3 linked regions of the Sus scrofa genome follow. The protein of the gene in region 1 interacts with the protein of each later gene in a pairwise test. Links are inferred from orthologs where the notes say so. Each region holds a gene or a part of one and is shown in the gene's direction. Other genes may lie near its edges.

Region 1 (10,080 bases):
AATCATCTCATGCCCTGCCAAAGGGACCTATGTCACACTTGGGGAAACACCCTAAGCTGTACTTCCTTCCAGAGTCTTGCAGGGGCTCTCAGAGAAGGAAATAAGATGAGGAAGGAAGCCCCTCTTTGGTGTGAAGTTCTGATTCTGAGAGGATGGAGTTAGACAAAATCTGCCCTCATATAACTAGGATGGGGTGGGGGCGAGGGTAGTAGCCAGGCCAGCCTGCAGGGGGCACCTGAATTTCATCTGCCAGACACCAGTCTGACTGGAGAAGGGAAAATGCCGAAACCTCAGTAGGTACGTTGGGCATCCTGTAGCCCCCTATGCCAGCAGCTCCATGCTAGGGCAGGACAGCACTGGCCTCCTCCCAAGGCTAGTACAAGCCCTGGGGTGGGGTGGGGTGGGAGAAATCTGTACCCAAAGATGCCAGAGTCGTCAGCTGGGGTGTGGGTGAGATGCTAAGAGAGCAGAGAAAACAAGACCAAGCCCTGGGCCCTGAGCAAACTGGAAGAATTGAGAGAGGGCAGTGGCCCCACGAGGCCCTGGAGACAGGCAGCCAAGTGGGGCTCATGCCTAGGCCGCCTTAGCCAGAGGCACCCCTTAGAGCTGGCCCATGGGAGAAGGGACAGAGCTGGTAAGGGGGGAGCCCTCTAGACACCACCAGCCCCCCAGGCTCCAGGGACAGATCCAGGCTCTGAGAGTGTGAACTGCCCCTAAGAGGTCCATGAATGGGAAGAATTGTGGCCCTCTAACATCCTACAGAAGTCTGAGAGGGCCAAACACCATCGTGCATTGGCAGTTGTATGGATGCCCAAGAGGGTCCTGCCAAGGCAGTTTTTCCTTTAGCCCAGCTGAGCTTAGAGAAGCTTGAGGGTTCTTTTCTGGCCCTCCACTTCACCCACTGGCCCCCAGGGTGGGTCTCTCTTCCTGCCACCACCCCAAAACTCCCTGGCCCCCCCTACAGGCAGGGGTCTGGGTAATGGGCAGCCAAGCTGGTGCAGCAGGTCTCATGAGCCTTCCCAGCCACCGTAGTTGTCCTGGTGCCCTGTGAGGAAGACTGAGTGATGGCTTCCAACCCCAAGGATGGTGAGGCTGAGCCCTGTTGCTATAGCAACTTCTCAAGCACTCTCTGACCCTCAAGTCAGGGAAGGATAGCAGTAGGATTTAGGGAACAGATAGAGAGGAAGTCTGTGGACCCTTGGCTGGCCCTGGAAATCCTCCTTTAGTAACAACTCTGGGCTGGGGTGCTTGGGGGAGAGTAGGGGGGATGGGTGGTTCAGTTCAGACAAGAGGGGATGATCTACTGGAGTGGGGGTCCAGTTTACACCCAGGCAGTAGGGTGGTCCAGCTCAGTGTCATGGTTCAGCTCAGAATGGGGTTTGGTCCGCTCAGTGATAAGAGTCTGGTTCGTAATGGACAATGGTCCAGTACAGAATGGGGGTCCATCGGACTGGAGGTTGGCCCAGTCCAGTGTTGGGGTCCAGCTGAGATTAGGGCACGGTCCAGCCCAGAGCTGCACCAGAATTCACCCTGGGGTAAATTCCTCCCCCGTCAACCAGGTTTTGGGGAGCAGAGGGTCCTGAGATTGTTATCTGAGGGGTCTGAGGCTGGGCTCCTGGCTCTAGCTGGGGCCCTGGCTTTTTGGGAGACGTTCTCTCTGAGAGCCCAAATCAAATCCGGGCTGGGGTGGAGGTTGGCACCCCTTCTGTGGGAGACATGGGCAGTCCAAAGCCAGCAGAAGGCTGGGTTTCCCTTCTCTGCTACTTCCTGTTGTCAGCAGTGGCCACGGGTGCTGGGCACTCTTGGGAGAAGCTGCCACCGACCCTCCACTTCTTTGGGGATCTGGAAAGAAGGAGGAAGATGGTCAAGGCTGCCTCCCCCTCCCCCACCCTTGGGTTTAACGTTTCGTTTCCGGTTTGGACTTTCATGGCTGAGAGCAAAGCCAAGCACAGGGCAAGGTTTGACAGAGGCCAAGGACATCCCAGGATGCCATTCCCCTCTCCGCCCCTGCACCAGAGCAAGACAAAGCCAGAATTTCTCCCTGGAAGTGGCAGAATTTGGGGGCTCCAGGTTCAAAGAGCCCTTGAGGGAGGAGATAGGGTGGCTCTCATCGCCCCCCTTCCCACCCCTGCCTCTCTCTCCAGCTGCTCTTTCAGCTAATTAACGGAGCTCTGGGGCCTCTTTGGCCCCCAGGGAGGCCCTGGCTGCTTCCCTGGACCTGAGCTTTAACTCCTTCCCCTCTGCCCAGTGGGCACTGCCCTGGGCACATTGGGTGCCATCCTCTGGGTAGACCAGCACCCCCTGGGAACAGCAGGGCCTGGCAGCCTGGAAACAGCGAAGTCCCTGGAACAGGAAGTCAGCTGTAGCACCCCGCCCCCAGAGCAGGCAGGCCAGCCAGGAGGGACACCCTCAGGAGGATCTTCCCACCGCCTCCTGCCAAGGAGGGCCTTTACAAACCTTGGCCAGCCGGGAGCAGGTACCTTTAAATGCTTCCCTGGCAACCAGCTCCTCCTCCCCTGTCCCCCGAGGCTCTCCTGAGGAAGCCAGCTCAGAGGCTCTGCGTATTCCTGGTTTCCCTGCAAAGGGAAGGTTCCAGGGAGAGCTCAGGGCAGTCCTGGGATGGATCTGGGGTCAGGCAGAAGCTGCAGTTGGGAGGACTCGGAGACCACCTTCCAGCTGTGGCTGCAGCTGCTTCTCTGGGGCCACCTGATTGTCCGTTTCCTGAGCTACCTGCGCCATACCCTCTGGGCACCTAAGCCACAGCCAGCACCCTGAGCCTCCCTGGCCAGGAGCAGATGGGCCCCAGATCACCCCATCCCATTCCACCACCCCCCTCCCACTGTACCCTCTGCTGGGAGGGGCAGGAAGCAGAGGTGAGTATGGGGGCTCTGGGCTGGGGTTCCCCCATCATTATCCCTCTTTATCTGCCCACTTTCCGGGTACTGCCACACCCTGTGCCCCATCCCCAGATCTGGAAAGCTGATGGCACCAGAGAGAACACAGCCTGGGCCTTTCCATACTTTGAAAGGCCAGACCAGGGGTGTTTAGGGTCAAGGCACCCTGTAGAGCCTCTTAGTGGGGTACCAGCAACAGAGGCACAGACACACCAGGTCTGGGGTGGGGGGTGCGGAGTGAAGCAGGATGCGGCTGTACTCAGGGACAGCTGGAAGCAGAAGGGGAAGCAGGACCAGGCTTCCTCCTGGATTCCTACCAAACCCACCCCTCTCTGCCTCCGAGGGCAGGTGACAGTAGGGTCCCAAGAGGGACGTTCACTCCCACCTTCATCCAGAATTCAACGTGGATGTTTGGCGTTTTCCAAGGAAGTTGTTGTGTGTCCAAAAAAATGGTGCCTTGTGGCGTTAAAGATCCAGCATTGCCACTGCAGAGGCTCAGGTTGCAGCTGTGGTGCAGGTTCAGTCCTGGGCCCAGGAACTTCCACATGCCACAAGTATGGCCAAAAAAAAAAAAAAGGATTCTACTGGCAAAAGCACTGGATGTGGTGGTGTAGTCCCCAAGCTCAGAGAGGTCTTAAGACAGTTGGTGGCCCACTCAGGCACCAGCCTAGGACTCTTGGCCATTTCTTGACTCTGCCCAGTCATTCTTTGTAGGGCTTTCCTGACCAACAGTCTCTCCTCCATCTGCCACCCTTGGAGCCTCAGGGAAGGTTCTTCTCCTTCAATGCTGAGGGGGAGCGTTGGGGACAGTGGAGAGGTGGCTACCCACAAGGCTGGGTGGGATTCCTGGCACTGCATATAGGTGACAGGCAAGGTCAAAGTACAAGTGTGCAGGATTCCTCAGGATGGTAACTTCCCCAGAACATCAGGGTTGAGGACAGCTCCGTCCATGGGCCACCCTGGTAACCTGGGACCAGTCAGAAGCCAAGCAGTTAATCTCGTGGGCAGAGGGGTCCAGGAAGTGATCTGAGACCAGTCTTCTCATCTATCCAATGAGAGTAATAGCTCTGAGCCATCAGGGTAGGAGTGAAGCATAGAAGCACTAAGCACAGAGATGGCACACAGGGAGGGTCCCTGAGTAACAGCATGCCTGACCCCAGGTGGTGGTTACAAGGGCAAGTCCCTAACCTGAGAATCCTTCAGACTGCACATTTAAGATGTGAGCCCTCAATGTTTGGCCTGGATTTTATGCCTCCATTCAAAAAATACTTAAGGAGTTCCTTTTGTGGCGCAGTGGAAACGAATCCAACTAGGAACCATGAGGTTGCGGGTTCGATCCCTGGCCTCACTCAGTGGGTTAAGGATCTGGCGTTGCTGTGAGCTGTGATTTAGGTCACAGACATGGCTCAGATCCTGTGTAGTTGCAGCTGTGGTATAGGCTGGCAGCTGTAGCTCTGATTTGACCCCTAGCCTAGGAACCTCCATATGCCAAGGGTGCAGCCCTAAAAAGCAAAAAAAAAAAAAAACTTAAAAGAGGAGTCCCCACCGTGGCTCAGTGGTTAACGAACCCAACTAGCATCCATGAGGATGCAGGTTCGATCCCTGGCCTCACTCATTGGTTCAAGGATCCAGCATTTCCGTGAGCTGTGGTGTAGGTCGCAGACGTGGCTCAGATCCCGAGTTGCTGTGGCTCTGGCATAGGCCAGCGGCTACAGCTCCAATTGGACCCCTAGCCTGGGAATCTCCATATGCTGCCACCCTAAAAAGACAAAAAAAGAAATACTTAAAATTAATAGCTAAGTTTTTGAAAATGCTCTTGAAGTATAGTTCATTTACAACGTGTTAATTTCTGCTGTACAGCAGTGGTTCAATTAAACGTATACATACTTTTTCATATTCTTTTGCATTATGGTTTATCACAGGATATTGAATATAGTTCCCTGTGCTCTACACTAGCACCTTGTTGTTTATCCATCCTATATATAATTGTTCGCATCTGGGAGTTCCTATTGTGGCTCAACAGGTTAAGAACCAGACTAGTATCCATGAGGATGCCAGTTTGATCCCTGGCCCCACTCAGTGGGTTAACATTTGGTGTTACCACAAGCTTCGGTGCAGGTTGCAGATGCGTCTCAGATCTGGCATTGCTGTAGCCATGGTGTAGGCCCGCAGCTGCGGCTCCAATTCAATCCCTAGCCTGGAACTTCCATACTTCTGTGGGTACAGACCTAAAAAGGAAAAAAAAAAAAAAAAAAAGATAGCTTGCATCTGAATGGCTGACATTTATATGGCACTAACTCTGTGCTGGCCACCATCCGAACCCCCTTTGCCAAAATTAACTCATTCAGTCCTCATAACCACCCTGCCAGGTCATTAGTGTTATCATTCCCATTTTACAGAGGAAAACTGAGGCCCAGAAGTGAGGTCATTTGCCTAAGGCCACACAGCTCATCGGGGACTAGGCCAGGATCTGAACTTGATCTTATCCCAGAGTCCTGGCCTTAACTACTTTGTCAGGCCACCTCTGCATTGGCCGGAATGCCTCTTTCAGGTCTCAGTTTACTAGGGTGATAAATGGGGAGAATGGCTAAAAGGAAAGTTGGCAAGTGAACCAAATGAGTCAGTGGACACAAAGCAGCAAGCCCAGGGTCCGCCAAGATGTCTTCAATGCTAGCTGAATGGTGATGTTTGCCTTGGGGTGCAGAGGGGCCTGTAGGGGGTGGGCATCAGGCGAGGCTTCCCTTGAACCAGCTCTGGAATGAGGGCCCCTCTGTTGGCAAAGGCGAGAATGGGGCCAGCTGGGGGCCAAGGCAACAGCTGAACCCCCCCCCAAGGGTGCCTGCTACCCGAGCCCCAGAGGCCTCCACCCCAGGCCTGGCCTCCTCAGAGAAGGGGCCAGAGGAGCAGCCAAATCCGAGGCTATAAATACCACGGCTGGCGTCGTCCCTGGCCGTGGAATGTCAGTCAGAACTGGGGCAAGTGGGGGTGGGCTGGCCTGGGCGCCGCTCTCTGTCCCCCTGAGAGTGACCCCTCGAGTCACCCTGTCTTCCGTTTTGGACAGAATTGAGGCTGGATCCCAGCTCTCTGTAGTATAGAGGACCCAGGCCCCAGCCCAGATCAGGGCCCCCGCCGCCCGCCCGCCCCAAGTTACCCTCAGTTTCAGCCAGGGCACCGGAAGGCACTGGAAGAAGGTCAAGCTCTGGGTTGAGACAATTGCACCCCACTTTCCACAAAGCAGCGCCTCCCCAGGACTAGCCCGGACCCACACTAACAAGATGGGGTCTCTCTCTCTCACCTTTCTTCCTTTCAGTGAAAGAGTTCTTAGCCAAAGCCAAAGAAGATTTTCTTAAAAAATGGGAAAATCCTGCTCAGGTAAGCCCCCTGGGAGGGCTGACATGATGGCCCCTTGATACCCAACTGCATCCCTGGCATGACTGGGATTTCTAGGGCCCTAAGGAGGGCTCCAGACCTGCCCTCATTCACTCCTGAGATGCCCACGGAGGCTCCTGGGCAAAGGCACCTGATCACCCACTGCCAGGCTCCCCCACCCACCACCCTCTTCCAACTGGCGGCCCCTGCCCCCCAGGCAGCTGCCAGCAGCTCCTGGGCCCCAGGCCAGGGCCGGATCTGGCCCCTGCCACCAGCCTTAAGGAATGCGCCCTCTGCCATCTTGTTTTTCCGCCCCCTGTCCTCACCCTCCTGACTCCACCTGGTCCCCAGGGCCCCCTCTGCTGGTGGCACAAGGGATGCCCCAAATTTCAGGCTGCAGGGTAGGTTGAGGGTGGGAGGGGTTGTTCTCTGACCCCCCCAGACCCCTCCGCCCACAGAATACAGCCCATTTGGATCAATTTGAACGAATCAAGACCCTCGGCACGGGCTCCTTCGGGCGGGTGATGCTGGTGAAGCACAAGGAGACTGGGAACCACTTTGCCATGAAGATCCTCGACAAACAGAAGGTGAGCCCAGCCCTGCCACAAGGCCCTGGTCCGACCCACTAGGGCTTTGCCTGGGCTGTTCCCACCACCTGCAGCGCTCTTCCCACCCATCTGCTCACCAGCTATTTCCTGAACCTCCAAAATGTGCCAAATCCAAGGGCAGGAAAGGGTACCACGCTCCTTCAGGAAGCTTCCCCTCCTGGGTAGCCACTGATGCAAATTTAGGCATTAGACCTGGGGTCAGACACCTCGCCTGTATGGAGGAAGTCAGGAGGAAGTGATGTTTACACAGACCTTCTTTCTGTAAATATTTTTGAGACCCTGCTTTTTGCCAGGCACTGCTCTAGAGCAGCACCATCCAGGAGAAATATCACACAAGCCACATACGGTTTTAGATTTTCTAGGAGTTTCCTGGTGGCTCAGCGGGTTAAGAATCTGGCATTGTCGCTGTTGTGGCTTGAGTTGCTATGGTGGTGCAGATTCGATCCCTGGCCTGGGAACTTCTGCACACCACCAGCACAGCCAAAAATAAATAAAGTAAATAAGTTTTCTAGAATCCTAATTAAAATTTTTTTTAAAAAAACAGGTAGAATTCATTTTAACCACGTGTTGTAATTAAGTCAGTATGTCTACAATATTATCATTTCAGCTAATGTAACTAGTGTAGAAATATCATTCATGAGATGTCTTACATTTTTCTTCCACACTAAGTCTTATAAATCCAGTGTGTATTTTACACTTATGTCTCCATTCAGATGTTAATTTTCACTGGAAAGACAAGAAAAAGTGGAGAAGTTGAAAAAGCAGACTCACACAGGGAGTTCCCATCGTGGCTCAGTCGTTAACAAATCCAACTAGGAACCATGAGGTTGCGGGTTCGATCCCTGGCCTTGCTCAGTGGGTTAAGGATCCAGCATTGCCGTGAGCTGTGGTGTAGGTCGCAGACGCGGCTCAGATCCCGTGTTGCTGTGGCTCTGGCATAGACTGGGCTGCTGCAGCTCCGATTCGACCCCTAGCCTGGGAACCTCCATCTGCCGTGGGAACGGCCCAAGAAATGGCAAAAAAGACAAAAAAAAAAAAACCAAAAAACAGACTTACACAGCCCAAATTGTTCCAAACAGGCTTGAAAGTTGTCTGGTGCCTGCACTGAGTATCAGTTTTTAAATTTTAGACACTTCAAATTTTAAACTCAGTTCCACGTTTCAGCCAGCCACATTTCAGCAGACGAGTGGCTAGTGTGGACTCTACTGGACAGTGCAAGTGTAGACCCAAAGGCTGCAGCTGTGAGCAAAGCAGAAGAAAGCCCCAGTGCAGTGGTTTAGCGCTGACCAAAGGGCTAGGCTGCCTGCTTGTGACAGGCGGGCCTGACACTGACTAGCTACACTTGACCTTGGGCAAGTCACTTACTCTCTCTGCATCCAAACTAGCATGCTCTCGGGGCGTACCCCTCCAGGCTCCTGTCACAGCGTGTGAGGCACCTCCTGGGGACAGCTGAGGCCAAGGAGGAACTACCCCAGGTTTTAGGTGGATGTGGTGGGGGGTGGGGGGGTGCTCTAGATGCAGGAAAGGTATTTCTAATCCCTCCACCCCTTGAGTGTTCCTCCTGCCTGTCCAGTTTCAGCTCAGCTGCCCTTTCCTCCAGGAAGCCTTCTCTGATGCCCCCCCTTCCCACAGACTTCACTGGGCACCTTACCTGGGCATCCACAGGCCCTGAGCTTCCCCCACCACAGCTCTGACCCCTGTGACCTGGTGACTGAATGTGTTCTTGCTCTGAACTGCATGCCATGTGGGACAGGCTCCCAGCCCAGGGCTTGACAGGCCCCAGGCACTCAAATGATTCTGGATGAAGGCAGGGGCCCAGCCCTGGCACCCCTGTTTTGGGGCAGCAGGGAAGACGAAGACCCTCTCACACCCCTTCCTCTCCACCCTCCCCTCCTCCCACCACAGGTGGTGAAGCTGAAACAGATTGAGCACACCCTGAATGAAAAGCGCATCCTGCAAGCAGTCAACTTCCCGTTCCTTGTCAAACTCGAGTTCTCCTTCAAGGTGAGGTCCCAGCGGCCGCCACCCAGGGCCACTGTGGGTGGTGCAGCCTCTCGGTTCCCAGAACTGAGGCTGGGCCAGCAACAACCAGTAGCTGCCCAAGAAGGCAGGCCCACTGATGGGGGAGAAGGAGACCCAGGGTTAGGGGTCAAGTCAGCTTAGGGCTCTGACAGACCCAAGTTCAACCAGGCCTGACAACTTCTAGCTTGATAACCTTGGGCAAGTCACCCAACCTCAGTAACATTCCTCAAACTCATCACTCCATTTACAGGAAGAACCTGACACACGGCCATAAAATGTGCCACTCAGCCTAGGTTCAAATCCATGTACTTCCTGGCCGTGTGACCCTGGCGAGGAATGCCCCTGAGCCTTTGTTTCTTCATCTGTAAAATGGGGATCATAGCAGTTTCTACATGGTGGGGTTGCCATGACAGTTCCAAGCACATCATCAAATCGCCCAAGCCCTGTGTGAGCCATCTGGGGTGCTGACGTAAGTGGTGACTGCAAGAGCTGGAAAGGTCACTCAGCTTAGGTCACTCACCCCAGCAGTCATGAAGACCCCACACTTAGTTTAAGGCACTGCTGCCACTGTCTTGAGATTCATAATTAATTTTTTAACAAGGGGCTTCATACTTTTATTGTGGAGAGGGGGTGCCCAGAAATTCTGTAGTCCATCCTGGTCCCATTTGACAGATGATAAAACTGTGGCCCCAAGAGCCTCGCCGAAGATAGTCACAGACATGAACCACTACAGGGTTCTCTCTGCAGCCCGGGCATGCTGGCCAGGTCCCTTATGTACCTCTAGCCAGCCCTTATTACTTTTAGCCCCAATAAGCAGGATACTGGCAATCCCTTCTTTCTTCCAGGCAGTAGGAAATGAGACAGGAGTTCTCTGGTGGCTCAGCAGGTTAAGGATCCAGTGTCATCACTGCTGGGGCACGGGTTTGGTTCCTGGCCTGGGAACTTCTGCATGCCCGTAGACACAGCCAAAAAAAAGGGGGCGGGGAGGAAATGAGACAGGTAATCAGTGAGCACAGCGCCCAGCACTTAGTACGTGCTTCTCGTGGGAGCCAAGATTGTTGTCATTTTATTTCTGAACATCCGCCAGATCAGGGTGGCAGGCCTTCAGATGGGGCCCATGGCTTGGGGAATGGGGCTCTGATCAGCTGCTGCTTCCCGCAGGACAACTCAAATTTATACATGGTCAT
Region 2 (9,568 bases), on another chromosome or scaffold:
TTAGAAGTATAATGATGTTCATCTTTTATTTCAAAATCTTCAATTATTGTTTGTTCTTTGTAGGGAATAAATTCAAACTGTCTCTTCAAACCTTCTTTCCCCATAAAGTCTACCTTTTAACTGTCTTCGTATTTGACATTCTGCCTTTAGGACAGGGTAACCTTCAGGAGAATAATTGTAAAAAATAATGCCAAAAAGAGGAAAATGTATGAAAGCTTTATTGAGTCACTGCCATTCCTTAAATCTTTGGAAGTAAGTATATGTTTGTGCTTTTATTTTGCTTTAAAAGCTTTTGTTTTGTTGGGAATGCTTAGTTCTATTGGAAGTTTCTTTGAATAATAATTTATCCATATTTTCATTTGAGAAGATTATATAGCGTTTGTACAGCTCAGCCTTTCTTTTCCTGCCTATAGCTGCATTTGTTTTGTCGTATGTAAGCAATAGACTCCTAGGAGCATCCTTGGCAGATCTGTATTTGGTCTTTATCTGAACGCAGACTTAAAAGAACCCCACAAATGTAGGCAGTGGCCGCTTAGTTATGCCTTTATAGGATCAGATTATCCAAATACAGCACATCCTCACTGGCCTCTCCTCCTTTATTCCTCTTCTCCTTTCTCCTAAAATTGGCATTCTAGGGTCTCTTTTTCTTTTGGCAGGCTCACCCTAACCCTCTTCACATGGTGAACTTGTCAAATCCCCTGGCTTATAAGTCTATTATGTTGATGCCTCTTAGAATTGTTGTTACTGGGCAAGGCCCAGCCCTTGAACGCCAGGCTCATTTATCTAACTGCATATTTAACATTTTCTCTGGGGTGTCTGATAGAAAGCTCACACCTAATCCGGCCCAAACCTCCTCCCACCCCACTTCCCATCTTAGAGACAGCACTGCCATCCTTCCAGCATCTAAGCCACAGTCCTTCGGACTGACGAACTCATGGGCGGATGTGACTCTCTGTTGGCTTAAAGTAGTAGAAATTCAGGCCACATTTCAGAATGCATTTTGGGCAGCTGATCTTTTCCAGCAACAGTTCTCTCTAAATAAAAATAGCTCAGGGGTTGGAAATGCACATGCCTTAGAGTTAACATATTGAAGAAAACCAAGCCAGGATGGGACTTTGGTAAACTGGAAAACATGTGCTCCATCTAAAGAAACAGCTGCTAGTTAACAGAGTTTATTTTTGCAATTTGGAGATATGGGCTGACTGTTGCTGAGTGTCCCGATTTTTCAAGAGAAGCTGGAAATTCAAGTTTTTATTGAAAATTTATTTTAAAATGTGGGCAGTTAATACAGCAAACACACACACACAGACCCACACATTGCTCAGTTTATTTGGCCTATAGGCTACCATTTTTAAACCTTGAAACAGTTAAGGAAGATCTGTGGGCAGTGGATTGAGGATCCATCAGTGTCACAGCGGTGGCTTGGGTCTCTGCTGTGGTGTGGGTTCCATCCCTGGTGTGTGGGAACTAACATGCTATGGGTGTGGCCAGAAAGGAACGAAAAAACCTGAAATAGTTAAGATTACCCGATCAGGCTGTTTCATATAGTCTTGTCCCTCAGTATCTGCAGGACTGTTTCCAGGACCTTGGTGGATGCTCAGTCCCTTACAGTTGGCTGTCCCTATCTCTGGTTCTGCACCCATGGATGGGAGTGGGGGTGGGGTGACTGTTTATTGAAAAAATCTGCATGTAAGTGGATATGCACAGTTTAACCCCATGTTGTTCAGGGGTCAGCTGTATAATCTTCTTTTCCTTTGTAGGTTTCTGAACGCCTGAAAGTGGTGGATGTAATAGGCACCAAAGTGTACAACGATGGAGAACAAATCATTGCTCAGGTATAATACTGTTTATGGAATTCAGTTGAGAGTTATTTTCCGAAAGGCTCTTAGACATTTTAAGGCTTGCTAAATGCTTCGTGTGTGTGTGTATAATTAGTATGTAGTGATTGATTAAATGAATATTACTTCTACCAAATGATTTGTTAAAAAATGGTTTAATTTACAGCCATTAAGCTATTTGAATATTTGTATTTTTGTAATTAACTCTTAATGAATATGTATTAAATCATCAAATGGATTTCTGCATCATTTTATATTTGTACCTGACATGAAAGCCACGTGTATATAAAGAATAAAAAGTCATTTATAAGAGGAAGAAAATGGTAATCGTTCCATGAGTTTTATTAATAAGGACTCAGAGGGTGCACTGGAAGATAGAGAGTTTTTGCACCATCCGTTCAGTCTCCTGGGGCTGCTCCCTGATAAAATTAACCAGGAAGGGAACTCGCTGCACCATATTTTGTACCGACTTCCAGGCACTAAATGGGACCAGCATCCTGTCCAACCCCTAATGCTTTTCTAAGATCCCAGTTGGAACCAGCAGCCATACATATGTACCTTGGTTAGAATAGAGCTGCCAAGAAACAGGATTTATGAGGACAGTTGAAGTTCACAGATAAAGCATACCAGTGGTAATACTTTTTGTAGTTACATTTTTGAAGCATTGAGGGAATGATTTAAACAGATTTTTAACCAGTTGTGTGATTTTTATATTGTGATATTATACTGGATTATAATCTTTATTTAAAATACTGTCTCTTGATGTATGTGAAACAAGACATAAGGTCTGTGAGGCTAAGAAAAGAATAATTACTGTAGAAGGCAGATAAGCCAGTAACTGAATGAGTGCCCCCTGCCCCTCCATACATAGGGATTAGCACCTTCAGGGATCTGGATGACACAGATCCAATTAGAGAACAAGGCCAAATTTCTGCGATAGAAATGGAAAAATTGTAAAGTAGACTTTCGAAATGATTTTTTCAAATAACTGAAATAACTACAGATTCACAGGAAGTTGAAAAAAGAGAAGTCCCACTCACCCTTCCCCCAGTATCTGCCAGTGCGTCTTTGTGTCACTAGTACAGCGTCAGACTAGAAAACTGACCTTGACACAGCCCCCAGAACTTAATTCGCTAGTTTCGCTTGCATTTCGAGCACATTTTGAAAACAAAATTTACTTGCAAATTAAAATGAAGCTCTTAGGAAAACCTGATACAGAAATGTAAGGGAGAGGTTATAGGTCCACTAAGAGTTTATTAAAGGTATCTTTATTTATTTATTTATTTTTTAAAAAAGGTATCTTTATTTGTTTTATTTTAATGATTTTTATTTTTTCCATTATAGCTGGTTTACATTGTTCTGTCAGTTTTCTACTGTACAGGTATCTTTAGGCATTAGTTGCCTTTTAAGCATTTATAAATAGACGTGTGGGCACTACACTATAATCTAGACTCAGCATTTATTTTTGCGATGTAATCTGATACCACATTTCTTTAACTGTATTAAAGAATTTTTGCTTTTGTTTTTTTGTTTTTTTTTTTTTACAGGGAAGGTTGAATTTATTCTTTAGTAAATGTGATACAGAGCATATAAAAACTTAAATATAATTCTAAATCTTATTTTAACATTCAAAGACTATATTTTTGTATTTCTTCCTGCACTGTACCGCTAATAGCTAAACATACTGAAATTGTTCTACAAGTGTTTATTTCTTGCTAATTAAAAGTGCATCAGTCCATTCATTTTCTCCTATGGGTTCTCACAGTTTTCAACTATTTTTTGATCTGTTCGAATTACTGAACTGTACTAAAGAATTTTGAAATGCCTGAGTTTCTCCAGAAATCACTTTGAAAGGCTCAGAAGAGTCTGTTTTCTTTCGTATTAATACAGTTTAATTCAGAAGGCATCACTGTAGGTCATGCCATTTGTTCAAAGCAAGAGAACAGGGCTCTGTTGTCAGACATGGCAACTCCTTCTTTTAGAAGTTTTTCTGGGGCCTTGGGGTGGATTGTGGGTAAACTGGCTTCTGCAGTTTGGTCCCCTGTGCTGCAAACCCACATACTGCTTCCTAGGAAGTCTGCCTGCTTTCTCAACTCTTTGGCAGCAGCTGGTTTATCTGAGCTCGCCACGGCCGAGGCGTGTTAGATTAGGATGGCACAGGGGCACCTTTTAGCGCTTCTTGAGCAGCAGCGCAGGAGCCGCCCACGGAGGAGATGCCACCAGGGAAGGGGACTGCCGTTTCTGATGCCGTACGTGCCTTTTTGCAGGCTGCACTTTGGGCGAAATTTTTACCACAGGGTTATTTGCCATATTGTCTTGGCTAATTGTTAGCAGAACTGCTATGGTAGAGAGTATATCATTTCAAATCATTTTACGAATGAAATCGTTATGATATAATATTCTGTCGTAACGATTTAGAAGGGGTACACCTGTTCCCGTGGGTTTCACCTTTCAGGCAGATCATCTGTACTTTGGGGTCAGATTGATTTCAGGGGGATGATGGGCGGCAGGATTGCTGTCAACTAGATTTGCATTTTCACCCCCTGTTTTTGCTTTATTCTGATAGGGAGATTTGGCTGATTCTTTTTTCATTGTAGAATCTGGAGAAGTCAAAATTACCATGAAAAGGAAGGTAAGTGTCCATTACGTTCTAAGAAATCCACATACTATTAGCAAGAAAGAGGATATTCTTTCTGATGTTGAGACTCAGGTGAAGTTTTATTTTTCTTAAGCCAAGTAAACGTTAAGACTTTCAATTATCCCATCAGGGGAAGTCAGAAGTGGAGGAGAACGGTGCCGTGGAAATTGCTCGGTGTTCCCGGGGACAGTACTTCGGAGAACTTGCCCTGGTAACGAACAAACCCCGAGCGGCTTCCGCACACGCCATCGGAACCGTCAAATGTTTAGGTAGGATGCTCGGCCACCAGCCTGCTTCCCCTGGTTGAAATTGTTCTGTCTGCATTGTACATATGCACACTGCATGGATTCTTTTACTGGGTTCACGGGTTTTATGGTCCCTGTAAAATACAAGGCTAAGATTCATCCCATTAGAGAATCAGTTTGTGGAAGCCACTTTTCTTTAAAAATTTCCACAGCCTAGGGAGTTCCCCTCATGGCACAGTGGAAATGAATCCAACTAGTATCCATGAGGATGCAGATTCAATCCCTGGCCTTGCTCAGTGGGTCAGTAATCCCTCATTGCGGTGAGCTGTGGTGTAGGTCACCGATGCAATTCAGATTGCCTGTTGCTGTGTCTGTGCTGTAGGCCAGCAGCTGTAGCTCCAATTGGACCCCTAGCCTGGGAATCTCCATAGGCCTCCAGTGCCGCCGTAAAAAAAAGAAAGCAAAAAAAATTTTTTTCGCAGCCTATCTCGTGTTCTTTTATATAGGCATGAAATAACACCTTATTTTAGTATGTCATTGAGTACCAAATTTTATATCTAACCTTTCAAATAAATAACCTGCACTGTGTTCCTCAAAAAAGAAGCCTTGAGAGTTCCCATTGTGGCTCAGTGATTAATGAATCCGACTAGGAACCGTGAGGTTGCAGGTTTGATCCCTGGCCTTGCTCAGTGGGTTAAGGATCCTGCATTGTCGTGAGCTATGGTGTAGGTCGCAGACACAGCTTGGATCCCATGTTGCTGTGGCTCTGGCATAGGCCGGCGGCTGGCTACAGCTCCGATTCTACCCCTAGCCTGGGAACCTCCATACACCATGGGTGCGGCTCAAGAAATGGCAAAAAGACAAAAAAAAAAAAAAAAGCCTCAAACAGTATATTTATGAAGTATTGTAAGCTCTACAGGGAAAGTTGGAATTTCCCTAGCATACTTCTCGTCCTAGTACTACAGAACAAAGGTTCAAGTTTGTCAGAGCCAATAAAATCTTGGTTAGCTGTTTATTACATCCGTGTACCACATATTAGCTTGGCAGAAATGCCATCTTCAGCCAAAAGACATCTGTTTATAGCTGAGATTTTATATATGAGAAATAACTTATTTTAATACTGAAAAAAAAATGACAGTTCCCTTGTGGCGCATTAAGGATCCAGCGTTGTCACTGCAGCGGCTCAGGTCCTTACTGTGGTACAGGTTCCATCCCCGGCCTGGGAATGTCCACATGTCCTGGGCACGGCCAAAAATAATTTTTTTGAAATTAATAATGAAAAAGATAATTCAGAAGATATCAATCTAGATGATATTTTCTTTAAGAAAACTCATTCAAAAGTAATTAGCCACTCTGTGCTCTTTATTCACAGTCCCATAGAATAAATTGAGCTTTCAGTGTTCTTACGACTTGCAAGTATCCTCACAGTTTTCCTAGAAAAGTTGCTTTTTAAAACGTTTGAAGTATAATATTAATCAAGTGTTATACGTGGATGAAAAAAAGAAGACAGTTAGAAGCTGAGAGGTAGTTTCCCTGAGGAGAAGTATTAGACAGCAGGAATAAAGGGGATGTGAGTGAAGTCCCAGTAATTTTTTTCTATAATAAATTATTATAGTCACATTAAATTTGAGAAATACTGAAAAGATAGGAAAAACTGTCACCAATACCACCCCCACCCCTCAGTGGTTTCCACATTCCTGTTGTAACTCCTTCTCATCTTTTTTTATTTGTATGGGTTTTCTGTCCTAAGGAGTTTTGTAAACTGCTTTTTTCATTCATTATTGCTTACGCATTTTCTCCTATTTATTACATCAAATTGTAAGATTAGGTAAATATATGCAAATTTTGAATCACTCTCCACTGTTAAATATTTTGGGTGTTTTGGCTCTATTGGGGGGATGAGATAGTTTTTTGGCATTTGTTTGTTTGGCTGAGGCACGCAGCAGCTTGATAGGGGCTCTCGATTCCCAGACCTGGGATTGAACCTGGGCTACAGCAATGCAAGTGCTGAATCCTAACCACCAGATCACCAGGAAACTCCCAGGAGAGGGCTTTTTTGTGTGAGTGTATGCATAGACCCCTTTTCCATGAATAGGATTTTTCCTGAGAAATGGTTTTTGGAAGTGGGTTTTCTCTTACAGTTTTTGATACATATTGCCAGATCACTTTTATTTGTACTTATTTACATGCTACCAGCGGTGCAAGAATGTCCATTCACTCTGTTCTTGTAAACATTGCCTTTTCTCCTTCTGCAAATTTGAAAGGCAAAAGAAAAAGTATTTTAATTTGTATTTCTATGATAGTATGATCGTATTTTCATGTGTATATTATAAATTCAGTTTAAAAAATGCTTGAGCCAAGTGAGCTAAGCAACATAGAGCACATATCTATAGAACTGGATAAAATCATTATTTTGGCTATTTTGAATTGCCTAGACCATAGTGTAAAAAAGTAAAAATTATAAAAGATTAGTAACATTTGGTCTTCACAACATCGGATTGTAAACCCTGAAGAGGGAAAATAGGACAGAAAACACTCCCTTGCCACCTTGAAGGAGTTCATATTAATTACTAAGGTTAGTGACATCAAAACTATTTTATTTTTAAAATTCTGAGGCCTTGGAGTTCCCATTGTGGCGCAGTGGTTAACAAATCCGACTAGGAACCACGGGGTTGCGGGTTCGATCCCTGGCCTTGCTCAGTGGGTTAAGGATCCTGCATTGCCGTGAGCTGTGGTGTAGGTTGCAGACGCGGCTCGGATCCCGAGTTGCTGTGGCTCTGGCGTAGGCCGGTAGCAACAGCTCCGATTGGACCCCTAGCCTGGGAACCTCCATATGCCGCGAGAGCAGCCCTAGAAAAGCAAAAAGACAAAAATAAGTAAGTAAGTAAGTAGGTAAAAATAAAATTCTGAGGCCTTGCTGTAACAGTCCCTCCTTCATTCTTTTAACCTGGACCAGGAACCACCCACCAAGCTAGAATTGCACAACTTATTGCCAAAGGACACTGGCAGCTTCCTTTTTGAAGTGGAATGTTTTTGTCTTTATGCACACTCTTGTATTTAATATGTATCTAAAAATGCCATTGCATCATTGACATATGCAGAATAGGTACCATTAATGACTAAGAAATTCTGCAGATTTGCAAAGAACATTTTTTTTCTTTTTCTTCTCCCTTCTTCTTAGCCATGGATGTGCAAGCATTTGAAAGGCTTTTGGGACCTTGCATGGAAATTATGAAAAGGAACATCGCTACCTATGAAGAACAATTAGTTGCCCTATTTGGAACAAACATGGATATTGTTGAACCCACTGCATGAAGCAAAAGTATGGAGCAAAAAGACCTATAGTGACACAGTTACACAGTAGTGGTTAGTCCACTGAGAATGTGTTTGTGTAGATGCCAAGCATTTTCTGTGATTTCAGGTTTTTTCCTTTTTTTACATTGACAATGTATCGGTAAACAGAGTAGTGATTTAATAGTCAGTAGACTTTAACATCACTTTCTAAAAGAGTAGATCAAAAAAATATCAACATACTGATAAAATGACTTTCTACTACTCCACACAATTATGATTTGACTGAAAGGTTTATTCAATAATTGTAATATATTGAAAGTATCTGTGTTTAAGAATGCAATTAAAGGATGTTATCATAGGCAATGTGTGTTCATTTTGACTTACTTGGATTGATAGGTTATGACTACGCCCATGTAAGAGAGAACTTGGCAGTGAATCATGCTATACAGCATGGCATTACATTCTTTTTACAACTCACTGTATGTAGTAAGTACAATTTAATCATTTTTGTTTTAGAGTTTTCCTGGCTTGATAAGTTATACCCCGGCCTTGGCCTATTGGTGAAATGGTATAAAACATCATATGCAATTTTAAAACCTTTTATATTTTTGCAATAAAGTACATTTTGACTTCTTTGGCATAACGTCAGTAATCTACATATTCCAGTGGTTTTAAGGACAGGCAGTTTAGTCATGATAATAGCGAAGAGTCTTTTTAGATGAGAGGTCGTTATTTTCCTCATATACCTGCTTCCTTTTTTCATTTTGCCATTCTCTGTATTCGTTATCTTTAAAAATTTGAGTTTGCCATTTAATGTGACCAGTATTTTAAAATGCTCTTTAAATTTACTTATCTTCTAAAAGCCTAAGATCTTATTACATATGATGAGAAAAATGTCTCCTATAGCAAAAATATTTGGGGTCCTTATCAACATGCCTACATGATATTTCTGGGTTCTCCGCTAAGCGTACATAATACATTCCTTTGCAGACTCCCATGCAAACTCCCATGGGTTTCCAAGGTGGGAGAAATAAATGTTTGTAAGCAAAACAAAGATAAATGGAATAAAGATAAATGGAATTTCTCCCCATTCCGAATACACTATTAGGCCTTGCCATTTGCGCTAATGTAGACTCTCAGAAATGCAGAGTGAACCCAAATGCATAGGTTTTTGTTGACAATTGATATGTTTAATTATTCTGCTACATCAAATGAATGTAATGACATTCAGCCAAATCAGTATACTCTTATGTGATTTCTAGGCCTACATGACCCCAGTGTCGAATGAGATTATTTCTAATCCGTTGTTCACTTTTAAATGAGCAATTTCACTTTGGGAATCTTTTCAAAGAAATATCTACATGAGTAAAAATATTCTGTGGCTAGTGTGGTCTTATGAGAGAATGTTTATGGTCTTGCTTGTGTAATGAAGACGTGGTTAAAATATGTTAAAATGGATAATGTCTATATAAGAAGCATATAAAGTATACCTTCGGGCCACATTTTAGAACACTTCAACAATTTTCCAAACTTTCCCATTACCTGGAAGTAGG
Region 3 (10,591 bases), on another chromosome or scaffold:
AAAAAAGACCAAAGGCAGTGGTCTCATGGAGGTGGGATTCTGGAGTCTGAAGGACAGCTTGGGTGAGGGCAGAAGAACCATAGCCCTTTCCCTATCCTTCCTGTCCACTAGAGACTCATCAGTACTTGTAAGGCAAAGGAGAAACTGCTATCGGTAGATACTAAATATGCTGGGAGGACTGGACCTGGGGGCTGGCATGTAGAGTTCATCAGGTGATCAACAGTTCCCAAGAGATGGATAGAGGACTGGAGTGGAGTAGAAAAATGGCCCCTTTGGGCAGAGATGGGGGAGGTGTTTCAGCTAGGGCTGAGTCCCCCACAATAGGTCAGAGGTCAGAGGGCGTCAGAGGGCCAAAAGTATATAAACAAGGAGATATGGGCCAAGAGCAGGCTGTCCTCCAGGGAAGTCTAGGGGAGTTTGGCCTTCTACCTTCTGCCTAGAAAGGGGGGGGGGGACTTTTTAAATAATAAATCTGTCAACAGTACAGGAAAACCACTGTTGCATTGGAAATAGCAGTTGGTACCCTACCCATGTTCATTTTCACCAGACTCACCACTGTTGGGCTGAACATATGCCCCACCTGTGTTACTCAGCATACATAGTTGTAAACACTTTTGAGAACTGGCCCCATTGTGTCCATGTCTGCCTGAGATTGGTGGTGTGGCAGTCTGTGCAAGATGAAGACTCGTTGGATAGTGAGTAGGACTGGGTTGGAGTTGAGCACCCATCAGGACTCTAGGATCTCCTTTTCTCTACCATGGTCTATGTATTTCTTTTGCTTTCTAGGATCTCTGCTTTTGACCTTTTCCACCCACCATCATTTGGTGCTGGCAACTGTTTCCCAGTTACTGGCTGCATGTGGGTTCAGTTGCCATGGTAACCCCCCAGTGGTGCAGCTGGACAGGCTTGAATGAAGGTCAGGCTTGAATGAAGGTCTTCCTAGAAGGGTAAGCATTCGGGATTTGAGGCTCAGGCCCCTTGAATTCTCTCTTGCTCCAGGGCCCTATTCTTTTGCCAGGTCAACTGGATATTCATGAAGGCCTTTGGGATTCACCTTGCTATTATTGGAGGTTTTCCCAGAAAGGGCAGATCTCCGCTCTGGGGACCAGATGCAAGGAGAGGGGAGTCAGGTTAGGCCTAGAGGCTGGCTGTCCATCCTCACTGAGGCTGGTCTGTGGAGACAGGTGAGGAGCAGCTATGAAGTTCCTACTTTCTGTGGCCCCCATTTCCTCCAGGTTCAAGGATGCCTTTGAATGCCATGTTTGCTCGATGGATAGAATGGCTATGCATTGGGGCATCTGAAGACAAGCCAGGGACCAGTCTCCTTCTGGCAGAAGCTGACAGAGTTTCCTTGGAGTGACTGGGAGAACCTGCCCACAGCCAGCTCTGTTGTCAGTCCTGGAGTAGCCTCTTCTGACTCTATTTTGAAATTGAAGTGAGAGTCCTAACTGTAGAGGTGCCTGTCCCTCTTTAAAAAATAAAAGACCTGACAAATGGGCTATGACTGGAGTTGTGAATTTGCCTTTCCAAAGGGTTAGTGGTATGATTGCTTGAAGTGAGTCAGATCCCCAGGTGTGGCAGTGCAATGGAAGTCCCATTTAGGATTCCTGGGAATGGTCTGACTCCTGGAAAGCTTGAAAAAGGGTCGGTCTGTTCACAAGGAGAGAAGAGTTGAACACTGCTCCTCCGCCCCTCATTGCCCGTCCTTAATGAAGTATTAATATATGTGTGTGTGTATTTTTTTGCTTTTTAGGGCCGCACCTGTGGCATATGGAAGCTCCCAGGCTAGGGGTTGAATTGGAACCACAGCTGCCAGCCTATGCCACAACCACAGCAACTCAGGATCCGAGCTGTGTCTGCCACCTACACCACAGCTCACAGCAATGCCAGATCCTTAACCTACTGAGTGAAGCCAGGAATCAAACCCGAAACCTCATGGTTACTAGTCAGATTTGTTTCCACTGCACCACAAGAACTCTGAAGTTTTTGTGTTCTGAGATCAGAAGCACAGCTTTTTTTTTTTTTTTTTTTTGTCTTTTTCAGGGCCACACCTATGGCATATGGAGGCTCCCAGGTCAGGGGTCTAATCGGAGCTACAGCTGCTGGCCTATGCCAGAGCCACAGCAACGCCAGATCCGAGCTGCTTCTGGGCCTACACCACAGCTCACGGCAACGCTGGATCCTTAACCCACCCAGCAAGGCCAGGGATCGAACCCATGACCTCATGGTTCCTAGGATTCATTTCTGCTGTGCCACGACAGAACTCCAGAAGCACAGCTATGATGCAAAGGATCTTAGTTCTGAGACTGAGGTCAAGAGAGCAGTTTCATTGGCTCTTCTTTCTGTACAGAAATTTATCATTCATTTACTTTTTCATCATTAATTCAGTAAATCTGCCCCAAGAGTGTGCAGTAAGGACCCAGTAGGGAACAAGCTTATACTATCCCTTCCTTCACAAATTTTTTTTTTAAGTATTCTTTTTTTTTTTTTAATTTTTGTTGTTGTTGTTGTTGCTATTTCTTGGGCCGCTCCCGCGGCATATGGAGATTCCCAGGCTAGGGGTCCAATCGGAGCTGTAGCCGCCAACCTACGCCAGAGCCACAGCAACTCGGGATCCGAGCCACGTCTGCAACCTACACCACAGCTCACGGCAACGCCGGATCCTTAACCCACTGAGCAACGGCAGGGACCGAACCCGCAATCTCATGGTTCCTAGTCGGATTCGTTAACCACTGCGCCATGACGGGAACTCCCCTTCTTTCACAAATTTGACAGTCCAGGACGCTTTCCAGCAGTCAAGAAACTTATCCAGGGAGATACCACTGTTTGGAATCACAGGCCTGCCTGGCCTAGAGCTGGGTAGCATCTATACCAGTGGGGGCTGGATGTTCCTGCTTCTTGAAGCTCAGTTCCCAGCAGCACTGAGCTCCTGGGTGTGTGCCAAGCTAATATGAGAGATCCTAGTGAGGATTTTAATTAATGCTGGGTAATTACCAGGTGGAGCGTAACCATCCCAAATGCCTTTCAGATTCCCAGGGCTACATCTAGTCACTTTCTGCCTGGGCCCAGCAAAGAGAGGGAGGATTCTATCCTATGCCCTCTGAGTCTTTGGTCAGCACTTATGCTGTATGGACATCCCAGAAAAGTTTCTACCTTTTCCTGTTCCCCTCCAATTTGGTGTGCATGAAGGGGCAACTTGGGAAATAGCATGGCTTCTCCAGTTTCACCTATGCCCTCTCCCCAGGGGCAAAGGATATCTGTGCCTTGTGGTCTGCTCAACACCATTAAAGTACTGCTGGCCCAGGGTGGAATATAGGGATAGAAGAGATATCCAGACCTAGTCCTGGGAATCCTGATTGTATTGCTCAAGAGGAGAAAAAGGCACAGTGGTCATTCCTGCTCTGGGACTTTCTCTTTCTCTCTTGCTCTCTCTGATTTTTGTTGTTGTTGTTGTTCTACCCAGTTTTGTGGAGGGTTTCTTGCCCTTTTTTGGAGGCTTAAGTTCTTCTGCCAGTGTTCAATAGATGTTCTGTGCGAATTGTTCTATGTGTAGTTTTGTTTTTTTGATGCGTGTGCCACTTCCAAGTTGAGCTCTGCGGTCCTGCAAGCCGTAGAGCACATGGAGTGGGAGTTGTCAAAAAACAACTTTCTTTTGTGGGAGAAGGTGAGGGAGACATCTTAACTCCTCTGCCATCTCGATCCTTCTCTCCTGCTCTGGGTCTTATTCCCTTTTCTCAAGGAACATGTTTGACCTTCTGAGCTCTTCCAGGCTTATTTATCTGCCTTTGGCTCCAAAATTACTATATCACTGAAACTCCTCCTATCTACAAGGTCTTCTCCCTTTGACATCTCACAGTCTTCCTGCCAAGACTTCTGAGGGGCCTATGGTCATGCCACTATTCCACCCTGAGGTCTGGGTGGTTCTGACTTTACCAGGTCTTTGCACTTACTGCCCTCTAGGCCACATGGCTTTTCTTCAGATGCTCCTATGGCCAGATCCTGCCCAGGCCTCTGAGCCAGCTTAAATGCCATCCCCTAATGTGGGCCCTCTTGCTCTGCACTATAGCTGGAACCACTCTGAGGTGGTAATGTGCATTTTTACGTTGACTCTCGGTTATGTCCCTGGCACTTAGTAAGGGCTAGCAAACGGGAGGATCCTAGGGTGTGTTGAAAGTAGAAATTAAAAATAAGCGGCGCCAATGGACCCGCTTAACGGGAAAACCATTAATTGCTGCGCCTTGCGGAGAGACTGCCCGGCAGGCCCGGTGGGCTATTGGCGCACGCGCACTGAGGGCCAGAGCGCTGGCGGGAGCGCGCACGCCCGCGGCAGCGTGCGTCACAACCCGGGCTCCTGCCCCGCCCGTCCCGCTTGCCCGCCTGTCGGTACCCGCGGCTACGGCGGCGGCTGCCCAGTGACAGCGGCGGCGGTACCAGGCCGGCCGGAGTAGCGTAGGGTGGCGTGACCCGGAAACGCACACCCGGCCAAAGGGCGACCTGGCGCGAGGGGGGCCCAGCCCAGGTCGCGCGTGAGGAGACCTCGCGGGTGCCGGGCGGGAGGCCGGCGTGAGGGAGCGCCCAGACAGTGGCTGCCGGCGGCCGGGTCCTGCCTGTCCTCGCGGCCGCCGCCGGCATGAGCCACATCCAGATCCCGCCTGGGCTCACGGAGCTGCTGCAGGGCTACACCGTGGAGGTGCTGCGGCGGCAGCCACCCGACCTGGTCGACTTCGCGGTGGACTACTTCACCCGCCTGCGCGAGGCCCGCTCCCGAGCCTCCACCCCACCCGCCGCCCCTCCTTCCGGCTCCCAGGATCTAGAGCCCAGCTCTGGCCTTGTCACCGACGCGATCGCGGACAGCGAGTCGGAGGACGACGAGGACTTGGACGGTAGGAGGCAGGCTGGGCCAGGGGTCGCGGTGGGGGGGTCGAAGGAGCAGTGGCGGGTCGGGTAGGGGTCTCTAGGAGTTCCAGAGGGGGCTTCGGGGGCTAGGCCTGCAACCCTGGGCCCGGGACCTTGAAGCTCTCGAGCGGAGTTTGTCTGGGTTCCCGAACGGCGGGCTTGATCCCCGCGTGTGCCACTTCCAAATTGAGCTCGGCAGTCCTGCGAGCCGTAGAGCGCACGGAGTGGGAGTTGTCAGATTCAGCTCAAGAGAAACGTGCGCGCTTTCGGCCCGCATGCTGGCGCGGGGCCGGAGGGGCGTGGAGCCCACGGCTGCTTGGCCTCTGCTGGAGACCCTTCGCCCACTTTCGTTCCGAAGACAAGAACATTCACATCCACTGACTCATATTTCATAGCCAGGAAGGTAACTTTGTCTGGAAAGAATTCATTTTGTGAAGTTATTGTGAAAAACTTCGAGCATATACAAAAATAGAGAGAAAATGTGAAATGAACCCCCTATATGCCATCACCCCCATTACACAGTTGAAAGATCTGTCACAGATGTTTCAGCTGTATTTTTTTTTTCCTCTTTGCTGAAGTATTTTAAAGCAAATTCCAGCATTTCACCCTTGGTCCTTGAGTATGCATTTCTTAAAGTACGGATCCTGGAAAGAAAAAAAACCCTATATATATAATATCTATCTATCTATATATATATATATATACACACACACACATAATAATATAATAATAATTTATATATATATATAAATTTGGCTAAGATAATTGGATCAAATAAATTTGATGAGGGTAAACAATAACTTTTTTTAGCATACGGGTTGCAGGAAAGAGAACAGTAACACTTTCTATATATATTTAAGCAGGGTTGTCAGAAAGCAATTCCATTTTCCTTGGTTGCTTCAACATAGGCTTTGTCAACTTAACAATAGAATTACCCTACTTTTGAACAGCCAGATTTTTTGAACTCATTTTAAAAAATTAAATTATAGGAGTTCCCGTTGTGGCGCAGTGGACAAATCTGACTAGGAACCATGAGGTTGCAGGTTTGATCCCTGGCCTTGCTCAGTGGGTTAAGGATCTGGTGTTGCCCTGAGCTGTGGTGTAGCTTGCAGACTCGACTTGGATCCCACGTTGCTGTGGCTCTGGTGTAGGCCAGTGGCTACAGCTCCGATTAGACCCCTAGCCTGGGAACCTCCACATGCCACAGGAGCGGCCCTAGAAAAGGCAAAAAGACAAAAAAAAAAAAAATTAATTATAGTTGATTTACAATGTGTCAATTTCTGCTGCACAGCAAAGTGACTCAGTCATACACACACACACACACACACACATATATACACACATATATATGTATATATATACACACACACACACACATTCTTTTAATATTATTTTCCACCATGGTCTGTCCTAGACTGGATATAGTTCTCTGTGCTATACATAGGACTTTATTGTCTACCCATTCTAAATGTAATAGCTGGCATCTATTAACCCCACACTCCCAGCCCATTCCACTCCCTTCTCCCTCCCCTAGACAGTCAGAAGTCTGTTCTCCATGTGTGTGAGTCTTGGACAGCCAGAATTTAACAAAAAAGTGAAAACATTTGCAGGACAGAGTTAGAGACTTAGTGTTGCTAGATCATATTGGAGAAAAAAAACCCCAACAACCTAGTTCTGAATTGAATCCATATTCAAGTCAGACTGGCAGGGAGTTAATTATTGGTCATTGCTGTTAGAGGTTGTAAGCTTCAGTTTCTGGACAGCTTTCCTAAGTTTATTCATACCAAGTGTGGAAATTGCTTTTCTGGGTTTCCCCTGACTTAATACACATTAAATTATGGGTTTTTCACCTTGAACCTGGAAATCAGAAATTATTTTCCAACTCTGCCACCAGATCTCTGCCACAGAAGTGTTTGGTGGCCCAAGACAAAGCTGCGGAACCTGTTTGATTTTAAATTCACTTATCTTTAAAATAGGTACAGTGACAACAACTTCCTAGGGATAAATTGGTTTTTTATTTGTTTTTGCTTTTTGGCTACATTTGTGGCATGTGGAGGTTCCCAGGCCAGGGATTGAACCCGTGCCACAGTTGTGACTTGCACCATAAATGTGTGGCAAAACTGGATCCTTAACCTGATACACCACAAGGGAATTTCTGGGATAAATATGTTTTTAAAAGCTTTGTTTCAGGAGTGAATCCTACATTTGTTTCACTGTCATAACTATACAACACAAAGCTATAATCTGCTTTGTGACAATTTTTATTTACACAGAACAAATATTCTGTTAGTCCCGGATGAGTAAAACAGAGTTTACAAGTTTTGTGTTATATCTTCATTCTGTGTCATCTTTAATTAATCTTTTTCAAAATTGAGTTGGCTTAAATCTTTGTAACTGTGCTTTATTTTATTGGTATATAAATATTCTTTTGTTTATATCTCTTAAGTTGCTGTACTAAATATAATTATAGAAATCAACACAGAGTGAACTTCTATTTACAGATAATAGACTAAAAATACACTGCACACAGTGGAATACTAGTTCACACCCATGAGGATGGCTATTATGAAAAAAAAAAACACAACTAGAAAATAGCAAGTGTTGTTAAGGATATAGAGAAGTTGGAACCCTTGCTCATTGCTGGTGGGAATGTAAAATGGTTTGGCTGCTGTGAAAAACTGTTTGGCAGTTCCTCAAAAAGTTAAACATAGAATTACCTACCATGTGATTGAGCAGTTCCATGGCTATGTATATACCCAGAAGAATTGAAAGCAGGAGTTCCCGTCGTGGTGCAGAGGAAACGAATCTGACTAAGAACCATGAGGTTTCAGGTTCGATCCCTGGCTTTGCTTAGTGAGCTAAGGATCCTTGCCATGAGCTGTGGTGTGGGCTGAAGATGCGGCTCAGATCTGATGTTGCTGTGGCTGTGGCTGTGGCTGGCAGCTGTAGTTCTGATTGGACCCCTGGCCTGAGAACCTCCATGTGCTGCAGGTATGGCCCTAAAAAGCAAAAAAAAAAAAAAAAAAAAAAAAAAAGAATTGAAGGCAGGGAATCAAACAGATACTTATATGCCAGTATTCATTGTAGCATATTCACAAAAGGCAGAAACATCTCAAGTATTCCATTGAACAGATGAGTGGATAAATATGGTGTAGAGGTGTATACAAAATGTGGTATATACATATAACGGAGCACTATTCATCCTTAAAAAGTAATGAAATTCTGACACAACATGGATGAGCCCTGACAATATTATGCTAGTGCAATATGCTAGACACAAAGGGACAAATGTTGTATGATTCTTTTAGTTGAGGTACCTAGAATAGGCAAACTTATAGAGACTGAAGGCAGAATAGAGGTTACCAGGGACTGGGAAAGTGGATATGGGGGAGTTACTGTTTAATGGGAACAGAGTTTCTATTTGGGATGATGAAAAAGTTCTGAAATTGGATAGAGTTGATAGTTATACAACATTGTGCAATGTAGATTATGAATGTACTTAATGCCATGAATTGTACACTTACATGGTTAGAATGGGTAAATTTTATGTTGTGTATTTTACCACAAATTTTAAAAAGACAGGAAAAGAAATGCATTGCATATCCAGTGATTACAAACATTAAGATAATAAATCCACAGTGTCTAAAATAAGAAATAGGATATGTAGTGTTAGAACTGTATATATCAAAGAGACTTTGTTTTGTAAGATCCTGAATGTCTAACCCCCAGTTCAGTTTATCAAACAGTATGCTATTATAAATACTCAAAAAACTTAGCTAGTTTTTAACAGTTTGTTAATTACAGTTTTGATATCAAGCAGCATACCAAGAGAGTTCCCGTTGTGGCACAGCAGAAACAAATCTGACTGGAAACCATGAGGTTCCAGGTTTGATCCCTGGCCTCATTCAGTGGGTTAAGGATCCGGTGTTGCTGTGAGCTGTGGTGTAGGTCACAGACACGGCTTGGATCCTGTGTTGCTGTGGCTCTGGTGTAGGTAGGCAGCGGTAGCTCCGATTCAACCCCTAGCCTGGGAACCTCTACATGCCGAGAGTGCGGCCCTAAAAAGACAAAAGATGAAACCCCCCCAAAAAAACAGCATACCAAGTATGAAGTATTATAGTGTTTATTTAGTTCTTAGGAAAGCCTGAAGAGTTCAGACTTATTAATACACTTGTCTAACTGCATCCTTATAAGAGCAATAAATAGGCATCTAAACTTGATTCACTTCTGTAATGACCACAAAACATTTATACTTGTGGGTCTCACAGCATTTTTTTGGGTAACAGCTTTATGGAGACATACTCCATGTAACCATATAATTTACCCATTTAAGTATATAATTCACTAGTTTTAGTATATTTATTTACAGATATATAAAACCATCATCACAATAAATTTAAAACATTTTCATCACCCCAAAAAGGCCCCCACACTTTAGCCATTGCCTGCTGACACTCTCATTCCCCTCAGTTCTAGGCAACTAACTGATTTACTTTCTATCTCTATGGATTTGCCTATCCTGGCCATTTAATATAAATGGAATTATAAAATAAGTGGTCTTTTGCTTCTTTAACTTACCATAATATTTTCAAAGTTCATCAATGTTGTAGCATATATTAGTGCTTCATTCCTTTTTTTTTTTTTTTTTCTTTTTGGCCACAGTTCCCAGGCCAGGGGTTGAACCCACAGCACAGCAGCACCCTGAGCTACTGCAGTGACAATGCTGATCCTTAACCCACTGCACCACAACTCCCTTCATTCCCTTTTTTTTTTTAGCTGCTTGGCAGCATATGGAGTTCCTGGGCCAAGGACTGAATCCAAGCCAGAGTTGTGACCTATGCCACAGCTACAGAATGACAGATCCTTAATCCAGTGCGCTGGGCTGGGGGTTGAACCCACATCCCTGCCACTGCAGAGACACTGTTGATCCTGTTGCACCACAGTGGAAATTCCTTATTCCTTTTCTTTTTTCTTTCTTTCTTTTTTTTGGCTTTTTGTCTTTTCTAGGGCCGCTCCTACGGCATATGGAGGTTCCCAGGCTAGGGGTTGAATCGGAGCTGTAGCCGCCGGCCTACGCCAGAGCCACAGCAACGCAGGATCTGAGCCGAGTCTGTGACCTACACCACAGCTCACAGCCAAGCCAGATCCTTAACCCACTGAGCAAGGCCAGGGATCGAACCCACAACCTCATGGTTCCTAGTCGGATTTGTTAACCACTGCACCACGATGGGAACTCCTCCTTATTCCTTTTCATTGCTGCATTCTGTTCCATTGTTTGCATCTACCACATTTTGTTTATCCACTCATCACTTGATGGAAGTTTAGGTTGTTTCCACTTTTTGACTCTTGGGAATAATGCTGCTGTAAACAAGTTTTTGTGTGGCCATGGGTTTTCATTTCTCCTTAAAATATACCCAGAGGTAGAATTGTTATACCACACAGTAACTCTTATGTTTAACCTTTTGAGGAACTGCCAGACTGTTTTCCAGAAGTGGCTGCACAATTTTACATTCTAACTAATTACTCCCTATCCTTGTTTTTTCAGCTTTTTTTTAAAAAAAATTTTTTTTGGCTGTGCCCAAGGCATGTGGAAGTTCCCACGCAAGGTATCAAACCCCCATCAAAGTTGTGACCTGTGCCACAGCTATGGCAACATCTGATCATTAACCTGCTGCACCACAAGGGAACATCCAAC

What was found.
Region 2: the proteins of PRKACA (region 1) and PRKAR2B interact in binary tests that used the Homo sapiens proteins (3 or more experiments, as listed by UniProt). The link is inferred for Sus scrofa from reciprocal best matches to the Homo sapiens genes PRKACA and PRKAR2B.
Region 3: the proteins of PRKACA (region 1) and PRKAR2A interact in a protein complementation assay, tested with the Homo sapiens proteins (2 studies listed by BioGRID). The link is inferred for Sus scrofa from reciprocal best matches to the Homo sapiens genes PRKACA and PRKAR2A.

The regions. Positions count from the first base shown.
Region 1 is NC_010444.4:65,077,726-65,087,805, forward strand, and holds part of PRKACA (cAMP-dependent protein kinase catalytic subunit alpha), read left to right. Parts: intron 1-1,049; exon of another isoform or gene 1,050-1,064; coding exon of another isoform or gene 1,065-1,086; intron 1,087-6,204; coding exon 6,205-6,266; intron 6,267-6,721; coding exon 6,722-6,850; intron 6,851-8,776; coding exon 8,777-8,875; intron 8,876-10,054; coding exon 10,055-10,080.
Region 2 is NC_010451.4:106,947,660-106,957,227, forward strand, and holds part of PRKAR2B (cAMP-dependent protein kinase type II-beta regulatory subunit), read left to right. Parts: intron 1-150; coding exon 151-252; intron 253-1,760; coding exon 1,761-1,835; intron 1,836-4,404; coding exon 4,405-4,470; intron 4,471-4,606; coding exon 4,607-4,745; intron 4,746-7,902; coding exon 7,903-8,036; 3' UTR 8,037-9,568. UniProt on the Homo sapiens protein: Regulatory subunit of the cAMP-dependent protein kinases involved in cAMP signaling in cells. Type II regulatory chains mediate membrane association by binding to anchoring proteins, including the MAP2 kinase.
Region 3 is NC_010455.5:31,511,044-31,521,634, reverse strand, and holds the start of PRKAR2A (cAMP-dependent protein kinase type II-alpha regulatory subunit), read left to right. Parts: upstream 1-4,629; 5' UTR 4,630-4,630; coding exon 4,631-4,883; intron 4,884-10,591. UniProt on the Homo sapiens protein: Regulatory subunit of the cAMP-dependent protein kinases involved in cAMP signaling in cells. Type II regulatory chains mediate membrane association by binding to anchoring proteins, including the MAP2 kinase.